3 linked regions of the Caenorhabditis elegans genome follow. The protein of the gene in region 3 purifies or fractionates together with the protein of the main gene of each other region. This does not show direct contact. Each region holds a gene or a part of one and is shown on either strand. Other genes may lie near its edges.

Evidence for each region. Proteins that work in one complex are often made in the same cells at the same time.
Region 1: the proteins of mmaa-1 (region 3) and dcap-1 fractionate together in Caenorhabditis elegans (co-fractionation; one large-scale study listed by BioGRID). This does not show direct contact.
Region 2: the proteins of mmaa-1 (region 3) and nhr-201 fractionate together in Caenorhabditis elegans (co-fractionation; one large-scale study listed by BioGRID). This does not show direct contact.

The regions. Positions count from the first base shown.
Region 1 is NC_003282.8:1,052,006-1,056,602, forward strand, and holds dcap-1 (mRNA-decapping enzyme 1), read right to left. Parts: upstream 2,790-4,597; 5' UTR 2,782-2,789; coding exon 2,683-2,781; intron 2,634-2,682; coding exon 2,524-2,633; intron 2,458-2,523; coding exon 1,773-2,457; intron 1,069-1,772; coding exon 964-1,068; 3' UTR 519-963; downstream 1-518. Other genes in the region: Y55F3AM.13 (FH2 domain-containing protein), read right to left, coding at 3,079-3,282, 3,330-3,475, 3,540-4,125, 4,167-4,295. UniProt on the Caenorhabditis elegans protein: Component of the decapping complex necessary for the degradation of mRNAs, both in normal mRNA turnover and in nonsense-mediated mRNA decay.
Region 2 is NC_003283.11:463,019-468,027, forward strand, and holds nhr-201 (Nuclear Hormone Receptor family), read left to right. Parts: upstream 1-1,838; 5' UTR 1,839-1,845; exon of another isoform or gene 1,846-1,945; intron 1,946-2,723; 5' UTR 2,724-2,738; coding exon 2,739-2,872; intron 2,873-2,921; coding exon 2,922-3,052; intron 3,053-3,098; coding exon 3,099-3,178; intron 3,179-3,267; coding exon 3,268-3,396; intron 3,397-3,442; coding exon 3,443-3,652; intron 3,653-3,698; coding exon 3,699-3,895; intron 3,896-3,984; coding exon 3,985-4,354; 3' UTR 4,355-4,491; downstream 4,492-5,009. Other genes in the region: nhr-202 (Nuclear Hormone Receptor family), read left to right, coding at 1-10, 141-269, 320-529, 622-818, 1,426-1,690, 1,737-1,838; srbc-57 (G-protein coupled receptors family 1 profile domain-containing protein), read right to left, coding at 4,549-4,758, 4,812-5,009.
Region 3 is NC_003280.10:7,099,059-7,102,982, forward strand, and holds mmaa-1 (Methylmalonic aciduria type A homolog, mitochondrial), read right to left. Parts: upstream 2,106-3,924; coding exon 2,053-2,105; intron 2,010-2,052; coding exon 953-2,009; intron 834-952; coding exon 744-833; 3' UTR 525-743; downstream 1-524. Other genes in the region: T02G5.3 (EF-hand domain-containing protein), read left to right, coding at 1-70, 116-226; farl-11 (DUF3402 domain-containing protein), read right to left, coding at 2,475-2,701, 2,751-3,212, 3,260-3,344, 3,560-3,924. UniProt on the Caenorhabditis elegans protein: May have GTPase activity. May also bind and hydrolyze ATP. May function as chaperone. Likely to have a role in propionyl-CoA and adenosylcobalamin metabolism.

The DNA of each region.
Region 1 (4,597 bases), on a different chromosome or scaffold from region 3:
ATAATGATAATCTTTATTCCAAATGGCTCAACACGAAAATTGATGCCGACTTTCTTTAAAAGTTTTTGTGCACATATTTTGCATACATGAAAATGTTTATTCTATTAATATACACGGGGTTCCGGCCTTCCTCAATGGATTTTTCGCGCTCCATTGACAATCGCTCGCCGGACAACGCATGGGAAAGTGGTGCACTCCACTCGGACAAATGCATTTAGTTTTACAACTAAAATCGAGCCGCAACGCGCCGTAAATCTACCCCAGATATGGCCGAACCAAAATGGCCTAGTTCGACAAACTCTTCCATTTCAATTTATGAGGGAAGCCAGAAATCCGTGCAATATTTTGCCAGCAGTTTTCTACAACTTGTCGGCGGTGTTTGAAAACGTTTACTATATTGACAAAAGTTCGTCAGTTTTGCCGTTTTTGACAATTTCCGACAACTTTCGTCAACTTTCGACAATTATCAGTAACTTTCCACAATTTTCGATAGCTTCAGCCAACTTTCTGCACTTTTTCGACGCGACTTCCTTTATTATTTTTCACAATCAAGAGTTTAGAGTAAAGTGGAGAAAATGGGGAATTTTAAATTTAAAAAAACGAAAATTTTTGGAGGGCGGTGTGGTTTGAGATATCATCAATAGGGAGACCCATTCAGTGAACAAAATATGGACAATTTTATGGGGAAAAATGAGCAAAAGGGCTCAGGAGGAATCACACAATATTCACAAAAAAATATTCGTTGAAAAAATATGGAAAGTGGGAAAAATAGAGGGAAAATGGGATTTTTCGAGCAAAAAATTGGAAATCTTCACAGGAAAAATCGGAAAAAAAAATTTCTTAGCAAAAAATCGGAGAAAATTTTGATTTTTTCACTCAAAAACCAGCAAGAAATCAGGGAAATATCGGGGAAAATTAGGATTTTTAGCAGAAAAATGAGAAAAAGGTCGAAAAAATGGGAAATTAATCGATATTTAGACGCCGATTGAGTGCACTGACGTAGGCTTGATGAATCTGTGAAACGAATTCGTCGTCGGTTTGCATTAGGTGGGCGATTGCTGAGATGAACTGAAAAAATTTGAATTTTAGGGGGTTTTCGGTGATTTTTAACGATTTTTCACAAAAATCTGAGATTTTTAGATAAATTTCGCTTTTTTCCGGAAATTTTACCGCTTTTTTATAATTTTTAGGAAAAAACGGTACTTTTTTTAAAAGAGATTTCAATACCTAAGCTAGACTAAGCCTAAGCCTATGCCTATGCCTAAGCCTAAGTTTAAGGTTAGGCCTACGCCTACGCCTAAGCCCAAGGCTAAATCTAAAGGACAAGACTAAGCTTGAGCCTAGGCCTATGCCTAAGCCTGAGCCTCAGCATAAGCCTAAGCCTAATCCTAAGCCGAAGCAGAAGCCTAAGCCTGAGCCTGAACCTAGGTCTAGGCCTGAGCCTAAGCCTGGGCCTAAAATTTTCAGCTTAAGTATCGTAATTTCATGTTGAAAAACAAATAAAGTCGATTTCAAGCTTAAAAATTGCTCATTTTCACTGAGAAAGCAGATTTTTAGCTGGAAAACCTGAATTTTCCGTTAAAAAACTGATTTTTCGCATTTTTTAGCTCCAATTTCGAGCAAAAATGGGATTTTTGACAAAATTTTTCAACTAAAATAAAGATTTTTCATGTAAATTTTCGAGATTTCTCGTGAAAAATCAGTTTTTAATTGATTTTATCTAAAAAATCTGAGCTTTTCACTCAAAAAAAAAACGTTTTTCCAGCTCCAACCTGTTCTTTATTGAGAACAGGCGTCTGTTCACCACTTCCAACGACAAATGAAGCATCAAGTGGCTCTAAAATCTCTCCTTCAGCAATATCCGACTCCACATCACCCTCCGATCCATGCAAAGGCTTCGTCGAGACCGCCGCCAACGAAATCGCCGACGTTGAGTTAGTAAATTCTTGCAAAAGATGATTCCGATGCGGTTTTGCCGACTTTATAAGATCCTTCTCGAGCTCATCGGCCGACATTGCTGCTCCCGGCTCTTTGAGCATCAGCTTCTGGAGCATTGGCGGCATTTGTTCGATCGTTGCCGCAGATTTTTGCGGCGGATTTTGCGCACTTTTTATGAGCTGGAGAAGATCCACTTTTGGTGGGGCTTGAGGAGCCATTTGTGGAGCTTGAGCTGGAGCTGCTGGAGCCTGCGTTGGAGCCGGAACCGAAGCCTGTGGAGCCTCCGAGGCGGCCTTGGCGGCCCGAGCCTGCTCCGTAGTGCTTCCTTTCAGACGATTCACGAGTTTTTGCAACAAATTGTAGATTTTCTGAGCATCATCAATCTGGTGGAACCATAGTGCTTGAATTGAGGCCAAATCCTTGTAAAAGTAGATGAAATTTCCGTCGTGGCGGAGAATATGGTTGAGGGTGAGCGGCTCGATGAAATCCGATGGATCGTTGCGATTTGCGATGAGGAAACTGAAATAAATAAGTTTAAAATTGATTATTTTAGCTATTTTTGCATGTTTTCTTGCTTCTTCTCACCTAAAATATGGCCGATCAGCTCTCTGATAGACGAAAAATGTTCCTTCGCAATTCGACTGATTCCACTCTTTTCTCGCCGCATCGATATGATAAATCGCGGCAAATGGCATCTACAAAACCAATTTTTAGCTTTAAAATCCACAATTCTCTATGTTAAACCTTGTCGAGAATCTTGCTGGCGGCGATGTCGATTTTCTGGAGTTGTGCGAGGTTTTTCGCGGCTAGCTCGGCGGCGGCCTTTTTTTTAGCGTCGCTCATACTGGTTCCTGGATGAAAATGTTGAGTTTTCGATGAAAAATGATGAGAAAAGTGCAAAAAATCTGCGGAAATCGGTGAAAATCGCGAAAAAAACAAAGAAAGACAGAATTTAAATTGAAATTCTATGGTGTAGATTTACGGTAAACAGGGCGCGCTGCGGGATTTTGGAGTATCGTTGTAATTGTAAACTGAATTTTTAAAGCAAAAAATTTGTTTCTTAAACGAAAAAATCAGATAAAAATGCAAAATAATTCATTTAAACCGAGAAAATCAAATAAAAACATCAATAAATCAAATCTAAACAATCAAAGCGTCAATCTTCTTAGCCCACAACTCCACATTGTTCGGAAGGTGCTCCCCAAGGTTCAGAAGGCTTCTGAACACAATATCAGCGACACACACCTCCCATTGAGAGCTTAACGAGTCGAAACGAGCCAGGAACTGAGAAGCTTCACGTGTGACAAAGCTCTGATCACAGGAGCCGGCAAGGATTTGCTCGGCCTGAAAGAAAATTTGATTTTTTTGGGAAAGTTTCTAAAATTTCCTACTTTTCCCAGCCAAATCGCTTGATGACTGGCGCTGAGCACTTGTTGTGGCCGTCTAGAGAAGAGCCCGAGTGAAGAGCCCAACAGCTTCCAGATAGTTTGAAGGGATTTGACGGTAGTTTTTTCCAATTGCAGGGAGGGAGCAGGGCCTGAAAATATTGAAAATTAAGGGTATATCATAAAATTCTGATTTTTAGAGAAAAAATCCCGCACCTTTCACAACTTTCAGACTGGATTTCTTCTCTTTCGTCTGATTTTTGACTTCTCCCTCAAACGAGACTCCACGGCTTGCGCCGACCTTTGCGAGAGCCCGAGCCCACGGCAAATCCACGTCCCGCACTGTCAGCGTGGCGTTTTTCAGCTGCTCCTGCGGCTCGTAGGCCACAAGGGAGGTTGGGAGATTCACGGTGAGAGTCAGATTGGTCTCCCACGTCTTTCGGTCGTCCTGGACGGTCCATGGAGTCGAATTTACGGTCTTTTTCGCGGATTTCTGTGGTGGAGCCTCTCCGGAAGCCAATTTCTTTACGGCTTCTGCCTTGGCAGCCTTGCGAGCCTCCTTCTTGGCGTCCTTGTCTAGTTTTGCGGGGGCTCCGGGGACTCCGGGAGCTGAAGAGGCTGCTCCAGCGGATTTCTCAGGCTCTTTTGGCGCTTTTTCCGCAGGTTTTTGAGCAGATCTCTCTGCTTTTCCAGCCTCTCCAAGGCTTACCAGCAACTTCTTGAGCTCTTCGGTCTGTGCTTTGAGCTGCTCGATCAGTGAGAGCTGTTTGTGCTCCAAAGCCTTGCGCGGATCGGATTCTACCTGAAATTTCAGTTTTTTTTGAGCCAAAATCCGTCTATTACCTGCACCGCATCAGAAGGCCCGACTCCTCCGAAAGATGGATTATGATACGAACCTACTGGATAGCAGGCGATTTTCGGATGAACCTCAAAATTCGGTGGGAACGTCGGTGTCAGCTTGTACATTGGCATCGCGTGATTTACCCTGGAAAATCCTATTTTATACGAAATCTTGAGATTTTTGAGATTTTCAGAGCAATCGAGAGATTGTAAGATGGAATTTCGAGAATCTAAAATTTTTCAGAAGCGTTAAAGGCACCAAAAAACATGAAATATGCTTGAAAAACTGGGAAAACCATCAAATTTCTGGAAAAAAAATTTAGAGTTTAAAACAACGATGCTCCGAATTAACAAGTGCGTGTTATTTATTTTTAGTGAATTTTTGGTATAAAATCAGCATTTTTACATGATTTATGTAATTTTTGCGGGAAATA
Region 2 (5,009 bases), on a different chromosome or scaffold from region 3:
AATTCCACCGGTAAGTTGTCTTATAAAAAAACGGAAAATTGTTATTGAGACTGAAATAAGTGGCCCGACATCCTCCGGGTTCCACGCCTCACCATCAAAAACCCAAACTCAAGGTCGGGCCATGCACATACAATTTCCAGACGCTTGAAACATTCCTTGCTCGACCAAGCTTTATAATTCTCACTGCTCCACCAAAAGATGCACAAAATCCCAAGGTCTATATCGATGTCAAATTTTTGATTGACAAGTCCTACGGGGAGTTACTAAAGGCAAGATATTTCCAGCTAGTACAAGCTTTAACTAAAGTTGTGTACTTCAGGGCATTGAAACACCTATTCAAACGTCGAATATTTTGAAAAAGCTGGCTTTGGGTTTACAGCAAGTCCGGGGGTCTCAGAGAAAAGTAACGAAACGGCTAGAAAAATTCGGAAAAGATGAAATGTTTGCAATGTGGGAAAATGATATGCTGAAAGTTGCCAAGTGGTTCACCTACTTTGAAGATTTTCAACAGTTTTCTTCGGAATTTCAGGTAAAGTTTAAAAATTTTGCAATGTTTTGTGTACAAATTACAATAAAAATATTTTTTTATTTATAAAAATAAAAATAAATAAAAATATTTAGATAGAGATTATTAAAAAAGTTTGGATTGTCTGGAATGGTTTGGAAAAGCTGGCAACTACCGCCAAAATGAGAAAGCGGATGAATTGTGATGATATTCTTATGGTATTACAAATGGAAAATGATCTAGTGGCTTGTGGGAAGTCGGTAGAGTTCGACTTATCTTGGTGCTCAAATTACAAAGCGGAGCAGTTTGCATTGTGAGCATTATTTTAAAAAAATTAAATCATTGCCTATATATTAAAAAATAGTGTACGTCTGTTGACTACGTCATCAATGGGCGGAGCCTCTCCATTTGTGGCGAGACTCATCGTTGCGAGTCCCATCGTGGCGAGACGCATCAAAAGAAAAATATTTCGGCAGGAAACTGAAAATTTTCTAAGAATACAATTTTGGCGAAAAAATTAAAATTTCTGAGAAAAGTTGTTAGCGGGTCTTTCCAGAAAAATCTTGAAATTTCTAGAAAAATCTGGAAAATTTTAGATTTTTCTGGAAACTTCTAGAGTTTCCTACAATAATCAGGAAACTTCTAGAAATATGTTTAGAGTAATACAAACTTGAAATTTTGATTTTGTTCTGAAAATTAGCTGAAACTTAATTTATAAAATTGAATTAACCGAAAAAATTGACTGAAAAAAATTACCCGAATTTTTAGTTTAGTCTCAATTTGGCGGCCAATTTAAAAATGTTTTTGAAAAATCCAATTTCACTCTACAACTCACCAACTTAAAAACGTAAGACTTGAAAATTCATCAATTTTGTTTTACGAACTTTTCGAAAAACATTACTCTCTTACTATTTTTTCAGCATCGATTCAAATTGGAACAAACATGAAGAGCTGCTGGAATTGATGGTACAACTCAACCCAACAGATGAGGAACTTTGTTACATGCTATGTCATTTGTGTTTCCAACAAATTAGCAAACAATGTGACGGGCAAATACTTGAAGCCGTTGAGCAATTTCAAGATTCTATATCAAATCATTTACACGACTATTACTTGAACCATTTGTCCCGCCCGAATTATTCCGGAAGGATTGCTGCTTTGATGAAGCTTAATAGTATTGCTCAGGTATTTTATATTAAACCTTGTCTGGAAAAAACTCTGAAATTTCCAGCAATTCATCTACCAAGACCAAATAAATGTGGAGATTTTGAAAGTGTTCGAAGTGTTTTTTGTAAACTTTTCCCATCCGGAATTATTTATGAACTACCAATAACGAATTCATAATCTGTAAATAAACACCTATATTCTTGGCACATTTTTGCTCTTTTTCTAAAGTACCAAGTGCTCTTCGCACCTATTGTTTGCACTACAAACTACACTATATTATTCCACATCAGACATTTCTCGTAGAGTCTGCGTCTTCTTTTAAATTTCTCGTCATATGCTCGGAACTACCTTTACAACTTTTTTTAAAATCGGAGGTGCTTGTTTTAATTACTTTGAAAAATGACGTTATCTATTTTTTTTGAATCGTTAAACTTTTCAAAAAATATTATTTAGATTTTTCGTTTCTGAAAGAAAATTTGTTTGGAAAAATGTAATTGTTCTTGTTCGTTGACATTATTTTTAAACATACACAAAATCTCAAAATAGTTTTGAAACTTTTTTTTTTTGGATTTTTGGATTTTTAAAATTTTCATGTGTCATTTTGTTATTTTCAGCATCAAAAATTTCAGCTCATTTATGGAAAATCCGATTTTTTTTCTAAAAAAACCTGAATATTTTATTTTGTTCCCCAGCACTTTAGGATATTCCCCCTAAAGCAAGTAAGCTGTGTAAATACTACCAGGTCCATTATAACACCCGCAGAATACCCGAGAAAAGTCGGCAATTGCAAACATGTGGGGAAGAGACCAAAGAATCAATGTACTTTCTTTTGAATGCGTCTGTGTTTTGATGAGTTGAATGACGGAGACGATGACCTTATTCGATTAGAACCACATGGTTTCGCACTCCTGTTATTAGTGAAATTATGTCCGAGAGTATTTGGATTTGAGAGATTTATGTGTTTTTAGATGGGTCATTTGAAGAAATTTTTTATTTTGTTAAAAACTCATGTTAATGCTTTCTTAATTTTTTTGTCATTTGAAAAAAAAAATTTAATTTTCAGAAAATGAACAATCCTTGCTCATCTTCACCCCCAGACCTCACTCTTTCAACAATAGAAAAATGTCCAGTTTGCTGGAAGCCTGCTCATGGCATGCATTTCGGAGCATTTACATGCAGAGCTTGTGCAGTATTTTTCAGGTGAACTCTTAATTTGTAAAGCATCCCCTAGTCAGCTCATAAATTTCAGAAGATTCGGAGCTTCAAACAATCTCAAACCATGTAAAAAGAACAATGTTTGCAATTTTGATAAAAATGGATATGTGAGCTGTAAAAAGTGTAGATTACAACGGTGTTTTGATATTGGGATGAAAATTGATAGTCAGTAGAATTTGTTGGTATACGTCTCAGCAGTTTTTATTTTCAGATTTTCAATTTGAGAGGGACCCGTATAAGCAGAAGCTTGAAATGCAGGCGGCTTTGAAAGTTATTCGGAACATACCACAGGTAAGTTTTTGAAGAATTTTTAGCACTTGGCAAAAATGGTCAATGGGCTGTGACGTGATAGTGCAGCCTAGAAATTCAATCATTTCCAGACCCTAGACACCTTCCTCGGCCGGTCCAGTCTCATAATGTTCACCGCTCCATCTTTTGATGACTCTCCAACGGAAGTTCACATTGATGTTCGATTTCTCATTGACACTGCGTACAGGCAGCTTTTGAAGGTAGGAAGCTTTTTTTTTAGTTTTTCACAAAAAACTGATATTTCAGGGTCCCGAAACGCCAATTAAAACTCCAAATGCACTGAAAAGGCTTGCGATTGGGCTACAAAATCTTCACAGTGCTCAGGAGAAACCAACAAAAGTTATGGAAAAATTCGGGAAAGATGAGACTTTCGCAATATGGGAGGACGATGTGCTGAAAACTGCAAAATGGTTCTCCTATTTTGATGATTTTCAAAAACTTCCCAGTCAATTGCAGGTAAGATTATTATTTTTTCAATAATGATAATTTGTTGAATATACAGCTGGACATTGTAAAAAAAGAATGGCTTGTTTGGAGTGGATTGGAGAAGCTTGCAGCACTGGGAAAAACTAGAAGACAAATGATGTATGAAGACTTTGCATTTGTACTTCACGTGGACAATGAATTAGTGGCGTTTAAGAAGACGATTGAAGTTGATATATCATGGTGTTCGAATTATAAACTTGAGCAATTGGATTTGTAAGTTTCATGTTTTCATGTTTGAAATTACGGATTTCCAATAGTTGCTCCCAAAATTAACCTAAAACTAAAAAATTAAAAATTTCCAGCTTCGACTGCAACTTCAAAGAACGTCACGAACAACTAGTTCAGCAGATTGTAGCCCTCAACCCAACCGACGAGGAATTGAGCTTTATGCTATGCTATTTAAGCTTTCAACATTATATGAAACATTGTCCGAAGCACAATGTGGAAATAGTAGAACAACTTCAAGACTCCATATCAAATCATCTACACGAATATTATTTGAACCATATGAGCCGTCCGAATTATTCGGGGAGAATTGCCGCTATTATGAAGCTCATTAATGCTATACAGCTATTTTTGCTACATGATAAAACCAAGATGGAGCTGATGAAAGTGTTCAAAGTGTGTTTCGCTAAATACTCGCACCCGGAATTATTTTTTGAATACGAATAAGTGACTTTATTAAATAACAATTTTTATTCGATCTCTATTTTTCACTGTATAATTTTTTAAAATAATATTTTTATTGTGGATATAGAGAATTGTTGCATTTTAGAAAAAATGTTTTATGAATTATTTGATCCTTTTATCTTTACTATTAGCCGTGTTTCGGGAGCGCCCCGTTAAGCTTCACCCGAGTAGAACATCTACACTGGTGACACAAAAGTCGGCGCCACAGATTTCTGTCTAGCGATAATTCTAAAAATTATAATCGATTCAAACAAAGATCCACCGGTTCTCGGGATCGCAGTTATTCCAGTTTTCAAATTAATTGATGGAAAATACGCCAATACAAGTACCGGTAGAAAATTGAAAATGATGATAATAATGCAGTCAAGAAGTGCGATTTGGGTGGCCTGAAATAAATTTATTAAAGAGTACAGGTCTTGCAATATTTCTATTTTCTAACTTTTGAAATCAACTTGCTACTTTGATTGAACACCAAAAAATTGCAGACAAAAAGTCGAACGAACAAAATAGTGGATAAACTGCTAATTACAAAAAATACCACTTGCTCATGAACCATCCAATATTGTAGGTAACATTGATTTACCGTACACTGGAAATTCTCGCAGTTCACTGGAACGTCAATTACGTTCCCACAGTA
Region 3 (3,924 bases):
ACATTTGAAAATTAATTTTCCTCATCAAGTTGACAGTCTGATTAGACTTGCAGATTCTGACAGTGAATGGGTATGTTCAATGTTTTGTTACATTCTCCCAAATTTTTATTTTTAGGTGCTCGTGGCATCCTATACAGTCACAGATCCAGAAGCTCAACTTGTTTATACTCTGGAAAAAGTTACAAAATCATCAAATCCAACATCACCATCTCTTCTCAAAGCATAATTATACCCAAGCCTAATCTGAAATGTTTGAAATATTGATATCATAGATAAATATTAATTTTTCAAAAAAACCCAAATACTATGTAATCCCACGCAAAGTGAAATAATGCCAGAACAATAATTCCAATGGATAGTTTGACAGCCCAAACTAATAGATAAATCACACTCCTGAAAGCAGCTTTCAAAGTTCTAAGGCTAAACTTCCGACGTCCTTATAGCATCTCTCTTCATGACGGTTGAGATTGCTTTGTTGGCTGAAACGTTAGTTAGGGAAACTGCAAAATAATTTAACACACGAATCGGGTAATATTTAATATTCTTTATTTATCCCGTTATGTTTGTAATTTATGGCTAGAAGATTGGCTAGTTTTGAAAATTCACAAAAAAAAAGTCTAAATACATTGGATCTAATGAATACATTAAACACTGGTGAGTCTCGAGAAAATACAATAAAAAATTGCAATTGAACAGGTGGTTTACAAATGTAGAGTTATAAAGGGGTAAAAATGAGGAGTTGCCTAGACGCCGAAGAACGTTCTGATCATTGTTTCTGCAGCCAGACCAGGGGTGATTTTTCCACTTCGAATTTCATTTTCCAGTTTCGGTGCCTGTAAAATTGAAAATTTAGAATTTATCAAACAGTATTTTTTTTTAATTCAGTATTATATTTTTTGCAAATTCTTTTGAAATATCGTTTTGATGGTGTATTTTAAGAACAAAAACGTACCAAATGTGCTATTTTCGGATGCTTTTGGAAAACGGACATAATTTCGTCTTTAACATGATTCCACATCCATTTTTTCATTTGATCCTGTCGCCTTCTTTCCAAATCTCCTGATTCTCCGATTGTATCCCAGAATTCGTACAAACTCGAACAAACTTCTGATACAGATTCTTTATCCATAATTGAGGATCTCATAACTTTTGGACGCCATACATCGAGTCGTGGTCGCATGAATTTCAACGCGGAAATGTATTCAGCCTGTGTCATCTTGGCTTTCGCTTTCAAATCTCCATCATCTTTCGTCACAACCAACAAATCACTCATCTCCATAATACCTCGTTTAACACCTTGCAATTCATCTCCATGAGCAGGTGACAACAGAAGACACATCATATCACACATATCGGAAACGGATGTTTCAGATTGACCTACTCCAACAGTCTCAATGATAACAATATCGTATCCAGCACCTTCGCAGAGGATCACAGCTTCATGAATTCCACGAGTGACACCACCGAGCGATCCAGAAGTTGGTGATTGACGAATGTAGGCTTTGGGATTACGAGATAATTCTTGCATTCTTGTAAGATCTCCAAGAACAGATCCTCCCGTCATGGCACTAGTGGGATCAATTGTTAAAACTGCAACTTTCTTTCCTCGATTTTCGGTTAATTCTGCTCCTAATGCTTCAATGAAAGACGACTTTCCTACTCCTGGACTACCAGAGATTCCTACTCGAAATATCATAGAATCTCTCCCGAATTTCTTGTATTTCTCTCGTTCTTCATCTAAAACCATCTTCAACAACATATTTCCTTGTGCTCTTTTTGTCGGATGGCGAGATTCAACTAGTGTGATTGCAGAAGCCAGGGCAGCTCGACTTCCGCTCATCAATGATTTGAAAAGTTTCTGCACATTTGGATCATCATATGTGACAGAGTCATCCCAATGAACACGAGAATATTGTTCTAATAGATTATCAAATGGCATTGATTTCTGAACTCCAGTGACTGATGGAATATAGGGTTTTGGAGTTGAAGATACTGCTAACGATGCGTGTCTGAAAATTCTATTTTCTTGATATTAACGATAATAAATCTCACCTACAACTAGCTGAAGTGAGTCTGGATACCCGAAGCAATGATCTTACTACCATCTGAAACAATAAGATAGACTTGGTAAAACGCATAGTAATAGAAATAAGAGATATCAAGTGTTGAAACGTTTCAATGATCAAAATAACAAAACAACGATGTTATGTAAACAATTGAATTCATTCGGTTTTAGTCCAATTATTGGTTCTGACAAGGAAAAATTAAATATTTTCGAAAAATGATGGTTGGTAAAGTATAAGGGGGCATGGGGAGATCTAAAATTTCAAACAAAATTTCGATTTACAAGTTAGTTATCATTGGGGAACAAGGGAACAATAAAGATGAACTCGTTTTTATCGTTAAAGAAGAATTAATAACTAATAATTAGTTATTTACAGATTTTTGTTCAGTGGAAACGGGATCGAATCGATTTACATAAGATCTTCCACTCCACGTGTCTCTATCAGAAGTTTATCCCAATCAATACTCGCATTGAAGACTTCCTGTTCAAGCCACTTTTCGTAATCTTTCTTAAAATGACGTCCAAGTTTCAGATTTGCACCAAGAACAGAGTGAGCACACGTGTCAACGGGCTCAAAATCTCTCATATCAACTCGATTCAGGTAGTCGTCACCAGGCATTGGAGCATCATTCACTTCTGAAAATTTAATTTTTGTTGCTATAAGCTTTTGTTATTTTAATCTTACCAATAGCAAATTGAGGATATAATGCCGAATATCGTCTACTATGGAATCTTTCGATGCTTGCTTTGATCAAACTGTCTTCTTTTTGATAATCACACTTTCTCTTGATATCAGAAGCAAACGCCCAATCATCGGTCATTCGATGTCGAACTCTCGAGTAGATCGCCGAAATTATGTCCATATTACTTTTTCTCCACTGGCGTCCAAGGTATCGTGATTGCATTTTGATCGCTTTCAGCACGTAAAGTTGTAGTACCGATACTCGTACTTTGAAAAGTCTCTTCAAAACTGGAGCAGATTTGAACACCATCAGCATTTTAACTCGATCGTTTTTAGCTTTGACCAATTTGTTGAGTAGACGAATGAGATTGATTGCGAAGAAAACATTTCGCCACATGAAATACGGGCCAGCGCCAGGTGGACGTGGTTCTTCTATATTGTCTTGAGTCAAAATTGGCCATTCTTCTGAAAAAGGAATACGAAAAATTTAGTTTGGAATAATTAAGACTCACCATTATTTCTGACATAATGGTACAAACATTGTGGATAGTTGTAGGCGTAGATTTCATGTCTTGATTGGATTAATTTGTTTGTGTTCTGTAACAAAATGAAATGAAAAGCAGAAAGAAGAATCTGATTTTGAAGGGAAGGGCTTCAATTTTTAAAGTCTGCACGTATATTTCACATGCCACTCATTGAAGAATGAGAAACGCAGAGAAAAGGGTGGGGCGATGGATAGATCGAGCGGCAAATGAACTTTGGTGAGGCAAGATCGCTTTTGGAACTTTGCAAAAGAGCAACAAGTGACATACCTGATCGAGAAACTTTAAAATCAAGGGAATTCCATTCACATATACAATCTGTTGGCAAATGTATTCGAATTGATAAATGTGATTCAGCTTGAAGTGCTTAACTAGCAAAAGAAGAATTGCTGATAGTGATTTAACGATAATCTCTTTATGGCGGTTGATGTCAATGGCAAGTCGGAATCCTTCCTCCAATGGAGAAGATGTTGAATTATCGAGGGATATTGAGTTTGATAAAATATCAGATGCTTCCATTTCAGGCGTTAAGCAATCAATCAGTACATTTAAACCTTCATGTCGTGCTTTCGTTGATGGCACTGACGAAACCATAACCTTCACCAGAGCACAAATATATTGACTCAAATTTGGCA